2 linked regions of the Caenorhabditis elegans genome follow. The protein of the gene in region 2 interacts with the protein of the main gene of each other region in a biochemical or structural test. Each region holds a gene or a part of one and is shown on either strand. Other genes may lie near its edges. The genes, in order: nlp-13 and dmsr-2.

Evidence for each region.
Region 1: the proteins of dmsr-2 (region 2) and nlp-13 interact in a test that uses a peptide from one of them, tested with the Caenorhabditis elegans proteins (one large-scale study listed by BioGRID).

What each region holds. Positions count from the first base shown.
Region 1 is NC_003283.11:4,234,388-4,238,310, reverse strand, and holds nlp-13 (Neuropeptide-Like Protein), read right to left. Parts: upstream 1,894-3,923; 5' UTR 1,885-1,893; coding exon 1,824-1,884; intron 1,642-1,823; coding exon 1,508-1,641; intron 855-1,507; coding exon 762-854; intron 705-761; coding exon 579-704; 3' UTR 255-578; downstream 1-254.
Region 2 is NC_003279.8:2,531,463-2,535,385, forward strand, and holds the start of dmsr-2 (G-protein coupled receptors family 1 profile domain-containing protein), read left to right. Parts: upstream 1-1,805; 5' UTR 1,806-1,828; coding exon 1,829-1,888; intron 1,889-3,923.

The sequences.
Region 1 (3,923 bases), on a different chromosome or scaffold from region 2:
AGTCACGGTTTTGATAATATTTCCGGAGACGTGCTTCCGTTTGACGTGATCACCCCTGGAATAGCAAGGCTTAATGTTTCCTTGTTTATTTTCAGAATTTTTTTTAAGGAAATCTTTAGTCATAGAGCAATTGTGCTGATTTTGAGCGAACATTTTTAAATGTTAACGATTGGGTACAGTACCAGATTTTTGGTTCAATATTAGATAGTTTCTCAACAATCCTGCTGCCGAAATCCACATTCTCAAAAATCGGAAACATGGTCTAACATTCAACTTCATTTTTTTTCGTCCGTCTGCGCACGCACATAAGAAAAAGGTGGGGATGAGAGGTTTTTTTGGGGGGAGGTTGAAATGAATGATGAGATCATAAGTAGGGAAGCATAGAGAATTGGCAAGAGAAGAAATAGACAAAGATCCGAATAAACTGAACGCTTGTTGAATGGGATGAAGGGGGTGAAACAACACAATTTTCTTATTTCAAATGAGATGAAAAAAAAATCAAATTACGCTTTAAAATGAGTCTTAAACGAGTATTATACACAAGATGAAGGGTGCCCAATTGTCATCAACCAAATGGTTTACTTGCGCCGTCCGAAGGCCATGATCTGACGTTCGTAGTCCTCGGCCCGCTTTCCGAATGCCATAATCGGACGATCGTAGTCGACGGGTGAACGTTTGCCGAATGACATGATGTCACGGTCGTACTGTAGAATAGATGGATTACGGAAACGACGTAGAAAATAAGAAAAAGAGGGTAGTACCATAGAGGAGGATCGCTTTCCGAAGCTCATGATGTCTCGCGAGAAGTCGCTGGGAGCCGATCGTTTGCCGAATGACATGATGTCTCTGTCGTACTGAAATATGATAGGTTATTATGTATTTATCATAGTTGGGGTGAGCAGCCGACAAAATTCAAGTCTCGCGGAAAATTATGTAGTCTACCGCGGCCTAATTTAGCGAAGTAGTATCAATTGGTAACATGACTGGGTTAGATTAAAGTAATTTGTTTTACTGTAGTGTAATGTGTAGTTTGTAGTTTTTAGATTTTAGTTTGAGCCCATCACCGAGATCCTCAAGGATCATGCGCAGCCGAGGTTTGCGAGCAATTCTACAAAATGAGACAGCGTGGCATGTTTTCTTAATATTATTCATTGAAATTCTGTTATAGAATATTGATTACTTAAATTCAAGTATCGCGGAAATGTAGTATCGCTTAAATTTTAATTGTTGCAAAGGAAAAAGTACTCATAAAAATGTCTGAAAATTGTAAACTACCGGAAAAGAGTTTTGATTAATTGTCGGACTTTTAGACATTTTTTGGGAGTCTTTTCAATTGTTTCAATTGAAATTGAAGCTATTCTCAGATAAATTAAATACAAAAAAAATATTGGGAGAACATGGCTCATTTTATATAAATACATGGCACCTCAACTACCACTAGTTACTATCAGATTACGGTAGGATTACTGTACTTTTCTAATATATTGCCCAACTTCCACCAACTTACACTTGGTTGTCTCTTTCCAAAAGCCATAATTCTCCGATCATACAAGTCGGCTGTGTTTCCAGACCTCTTTCCAAATGACATGATGTCACGGGAGAAATCGTTGCGCTTTGCACTCTGATTATCGTCACGACTACCTTAAAAATTTTGGGAATTTTGGGAATTTTGGAAAGTGTTCAGTTGCAAAGATTCCGCTGAGCTGACATCATTTTTGAAGCTCAGAGGATTTTGTTACAATTAGTCAATGAAATTAGGAGGAAAAGGTTCGAATTTCGCCTTTAATGTTTGGTTGTTTCTGATCAAATGACACAACACAAACCTTGACTGTATGCCATTGCGATGGCGGACATGATGCAGAAGATCTGAAGAGATCGTTGCATGTTGGAACCCTGGAAGAAAGAATTTTTTAGTGGAAGTGATGGTGTAAAAAGTAAAAGGGAGCATCCATAATGTATAAAATTATGGAAAAAAATAGAAAAAAATGTGGACTTCTAGTTAGTTCAAGTTCAAGAAATCTAGTCTAGACCGAAGCCCTTGTTATTTTTAAAAATCACATGAAAGAGTCTAGCTTAATTTCACACTAAGCTTTTTCACAAAAATTGATGGTATCGTTCTCTGAAACACCAGAAAATTTTAAAACATCCCGGCTGCTGTTCAACAGCAAAGTGTGCTGCTCCAAGAGCATCTCAATCTCAATAGGACACGCCCTTTTCCTCCTCGCCGTTTTTTTTCTCGTTCTTGACGTCATAAAAAAGAGGTGAACCTATCAATCTTGAAAGCCTACCGTAAATGGAAAAATGAGAAAATGAACGAAATTATTCAAAATGACAAGTCAAGAAAAAATGGTAGAAGAAGAACAATGAGAGTTTCCATGGCTTGGTGGCTTCTTTAATAAGGGTTTTCTTTTGTTTTTCGGGGAGCTGATGGACAAAAACCAAGATTCACTAATTAGGAACGTCATTAGACATTTTTTACTGTAAAAATCTAGCATAGTGACTAACATTTTTTGAGATTTTTGACTAATGAGATAGCAGATTTTTGTTGTAGGCTGTATGATGAAAACGTATAGTAAAAAAGGAAAATTGACGACGAAACATGACGAATTTGAGGGGGGTGGGCGATGTTTGAGATATTTTTGTTGAAAAAAGTTGAAAAAAACAAAATGAGTGAGTTAAAAAAATGGAAGCAAATATCACAGAACACCTTCAGAATTTTTTTTTCATTTTGAGGAAGTATTTCGAATAATTAAAGCTATAGCTTCACGGGCGAACGCAATTCGTCGACTGTACAACTATCCTATGTGTAAGTTGGCACTAAGTTTTCTTTTAGATACATTGAGCTATGACGTCACAAACTACAAACTATAATATGACTTTCCATATTTTTTAGGAGTTTCCAGAAGATTGCAAGCTTTTCTAGAAATTTAAAAAAATTTCTAGATTTTTCAAAATTTTTCTAGATGTTTCCAGAAACTTCCAAAACTTTTCAAAAATTGCTGAAACTGTCCAGAAAATTTTCAAAGCTTCCCGAACTGACTCGAACTGTTTTTTTTTCTAAGAATTTTTCGAACCTTACTAAAATTTCTAGTTTTTGTCCAGATTTTTAGGAGTTTCCAAAAAATTGAAAAAAAAATTTCAGAACCCAGAAGTTTGCATATTTTTCCAAATTTTTATAGATGTTTCCAGAAGTTTCGAGAGCCTTACTAAAGTTTCTAGTTTTTTTTTCCAGATTTTTCTTGATATTTCCAAAAGTTTTCGTGAAATTCCAGAACTTTTCTAAGATATCTGAAACTTTCCAGAAATTATTGAAACTGTTCAGAACTTTAAAGAAAATTCCAGAAATTCTCTTGTTTCTGTGGCAATTTGAATTTCGCGTAAAATTTTTTTTCCCAAAAAATTGGATCTTCCCGCTAAATTTAAAAACTATATACAAACGTTACAAACAAACGAAAAGTGAAATTCTGAACTTTCTTTTCCTCAAACAGAATACCAACTCCAAATCGGCTACAAATCCCGAAAAAAGGGAGCAATATCTAATTTCGGATAAGAGGACAAAAGACCAAGAAAAGACGTAAGGGGGTATGAAGTTACAAGTTTAGGGATTCCGTTAACGAAAAAACTGAGAGAGAAAATAGTTTGTATAAATGTTTCATGAGAAAAAAATGTAGACAATTGTTAAATGGTGAGAGAATAGCCTCATGAGGTTTAAGGGGAATTCTCGCATACTCAGTTTCAGATAAATTCGATGGCACAGTTTTTTACTCTGACAATATATATTACCTCTGATTATTAATTGAGAAAAATGGCTGCTAGTTTTTTTCAGGCACTCCTCAGGATCCAGCTGGTTCGAATAATTAATCATTCAAGATGCTTAAAACCCCCTAAATAAATACAACTGATTGAAAATCCGGATCAGCAAA
Region 2 (3,923 bases):
CCACTTCCTCCCCAAGTGGGCGTGGCCTGAGCCCACTTTTTTTGGGTGTCAGCTCGGCTCCGCCCACTTGGTGGAAATGGAGGAGAGCAGCGGAGCAGCTCACAGACTTTTGAGCTGATAATGTGTGCAAATTTTTTGAAATTTGCACACGGGTCTTGCAACGAAATGTTTATAATTTTTTTAATCAATTATTCAAAGTGGAAGAGTTTTTGAAACTTCTAGGCCACGAGAATAAATTTTTCAGGGGATCCTCATGATGTCCCAAAATTAAAAATTGTTCGGTGGCCTAGAATTTCGGAAAACTCTTCCACCCTGCAATGATACAATGAAGTTCCCAAAAATTAGACTGCATTGAAGTTTCTAGGCCACCATTAACCTTTTGGTGGCCGTAAGGGACACTTCCTACCCCACCTGCTAACTTTCAGGTTAAAAAAACTGATGATTTTTCAAAGCAATATAAAAGTAAAGTAATGTTTTCTAGGCCACCATTCTCCTCCTCGTGACTGTGGGAGTATCTAACCCCACAACACAACTTTTTGGTTTTTCTAGGCCATCACATCCTTACTGGTGGCCGCAGGAGTATCCTCTTACCTTTCAGATTTTATTTTTTATTTTCTAGGCCACCAAATTCCTCTTGGCGACCGCGGGGTTACCCGCAAACCCCAGTTTCTGTTTTCAGTTTTCTAGGCCATCACATCCTTACTGGTGGCCGTAGGAGTATCCTCTTACCTTTCAGATTTTATTTTTGATTTTCTAGGGCACCATATTCCTACTGGTGACCGTGGGGGTACCAGCAACCCCCAGTTTCAATTTTTAATTTCCTAGGCCACCATAGTTATCCAGGTGGCCGTGAGGGTATCCCCTTACCTCTCTGATTTTATTTTTGATTTTCTAGGCCACCATAGTCCTTCTGGTGGCTGTGGGGATCCATGGGAGTACCAGCAACCCCCAGTTTCAATTTTAAATTTTCTAGGCCACCACATCACTCTTGGTGGCCGTGGGGGTACCCGCAACCACCCAGTTTCTGTTTTAATTTTCTAGGCCACCATAGCCCTCTTGGTGGCTGTGGGATTACCCGCAACCCCCAGTTTCTGTTTTCACTTTTCTAGGCCACCAAATTCCTCTTGGCGACCGTGGGAGACCCCGCTCACCCCCAGCTACTGTTTTCAATTTTCTAGGCCACCATTCTCCTCCTGGTGGCCGTGTGGGTACCCCACTCCCCCTCAGATTCAATTTTAAATTTCTAGGCCACCACATCCCTATTGGCGGCCTTGTGGGACCCCGCTAGCCCAAGCTTCAATTTTAAATTTTCTAGGCCACCATAGTCCTCCTAGCGGCCGTGGGGCTACCCCACTCCCCCTCAGAATCAATTTTTGATTTTCCAAAGCCTATATAATTCTAGATATGTTTTTTTTCGACCCACCACTGCTGAATAGTATCGTATTTCTCTTCTTCCTGTGCTCTCAAGAATTTATTTAAAATGAAAAAATTGGAACGGATGGAAAAAATAGCCGGACAAAAGTTGTGAATTTACATAACTCAAGAAGTCACTCTCTTTCCTTTTTTCTTGTGCCGTTCTTCTCGAGAATTTTGCTTTTTTTTCACGACGGGGCCCGCTTCTCCTCGTCTCGTAATTTAATTCAAGTTTTTGGTCTGCCGGAAAGCAAATTTTTTTCTTCATTTTTTTTTTGCTTTTTGGGCGGTCCCCCTCTAAATCAAGTTTCCTGTGACATTTCCCCGAGAACGAAAAGTTCACCTTTGCTCCAAAATGTGATGCTCAATTCTAAAATGCTCATAAATTTCAGACCCTCTCAAATAATTATTCAACATGAGTTGCATGGGTCTCAACACGACGGAGCTGCAGGAGGCCAGGGACTACTTTCGGCAGGTAAAGCTACCGTGCTCTATTGATAAACAGATGTTTTTATAGAGGGCAGGGGTGGATACTGTAGTTTTTATAAATTTTTCGGGTCTCACAGCGATTTTGAATTTTTCAGATTTTAACAAAACATTGAATTGAAAAAGAAATCTGGTGGCCTAGAAATTTCAAAACCCTGTAACACCGGATTCCACCTTCCGATTTTTTGCAATTTTCTAGGCCACGTAAAATCTGGCGCAGCCACCGAGGTACTTTGGTGGCCTAGAAATTTCAAAACCCCATGACTATGGTTCCCATTATCAGATTTGGTTTTTTTTTGCAATTTTCTAGACCACGTAAAATCTGACGCGGTCCCTGAAGGCCTAGAAATTCCAAAACCACCTAAATTTCGTTTTTTTTGTCCTATTGCCTAAATATTTCACCAAAGTAGTAGTAGTTGCTTCATTAAAAAAAGACAATGGAAGAAGAATCTCTAGGCCACGTGTTGAAAAAAGTTGTTTTTGAATTAAAATTTGCATATTATTATTATTGCTTCTAGTAATCATGTTCGTCATCTCCCATTTCCTGTAACATATGAAAGTCAAATTCCAGCTCTAGCTCTCCGAGCCGCAAACACCTAATTATCACGTTTTGCTCTCCCAACTCGACCGACCGGTGGCTCATTTCTATTCTTTTCTCAGTCTCTTGTTCAAAAAAAAAAGGAAAAACATACATATATATGTGAATGTGAACACAAAATATACATTAATTATCGGACTGATTCATATTTGTACATTTCCCTTATTATGGAAATGTGTGGGAGCTGCTACTGTACAAAAAATGAGCATAACACGTCGGCTTGGGGGGACTAGCGTGGCCTAGAAAACTCAAGGTGGCCTAGTTTTTAGTCTTAAAATTTCTGCTCCCTTCTTAAAAGCTTACAAATCTCAAGTTGATCTATGTCACTAATTCAGACAACTCAAAGAAAGATCACAGTTCTGGGAGAGGAGAACCCAGAAATTGCTTGCGTGGCCTAGAATTTTCAAGGTGACCTAGTTTTTTTTTAAAAATTTTGTACAGTTTGAGGACTGAAGGCTTAACAAACATGTACCCAGAAATTTCCAGGTGGCCTAGGAACTTCAAAATGGTCTAGTTTTCAAATTTACACCTGCCCGACCCCCTAGAAGTTATTCACCAAAGTTTTGCGGTGGCCTTGAATGTACTAGGTATAATTTGAAAAAGTTTAACTAGCTTTTAAAGGTTTTTAACAAAAAAACCCAATTATGAAATTTCTAGGCCACCTGAAAATTCCAAGTACTGTAAGTTTCTCTTTTTCAATAAATTTTTCCTGATTTCTTGTCATCCAGTTACTTTGCCAATTAAAAACGTGAATTTGATAAACAACAGAAATTCAAATCCGTGGCCTAGGTTTCAATTCCTCTTCCACAGAGCAGTGGGGGCACACAGCAACCTCAGCAAAAAAAGGGTCACCCAGCAAAAAAAAATTTGATTTTTTCAACTAACATTTACCTTATCATAGAAATACCCCAATTTTTGGTTTTCTAGGCCACCAAAATCTTTCTGGTGTTCGTGGATGGCTTGGCAACTACAAAATCTACCTTCTAAATCAAAATTTCCAATTTTTCCGAGAACGTGAGCTCCTGAAGTTTCTAGTGATCTAGAGAACCTTGACCGCTTCGAGCTTCACCCTTTTCATTGAATCCTTATCGGGTTTTTTTTCCTATTCTACAACACATTCCCCTTTTCAGCGTAACACCAAAATCGAATCATGCTACGGGAGAAAGAGTAAAAGGGATGGGCAAAAAAAAGAACACACGGCAATGAAATTGAGTTTTTGCGCGGGAAGGGATAGGGCGAGAAAAAGAGCATCAACTCTTCTGCATCATCGACCTTTTGGGACATTGAGGGGACATTTTTGGTGGCCTAGAAATGGAATTCTAGGCCATCAGGGTGACTTTGACGGTCTAGGAATTGAACTTTGGAATGAGAAAACCTTGCTATTTTGGAATATCTGTTAAATTATATAGCAATTGGACAGAGGAAA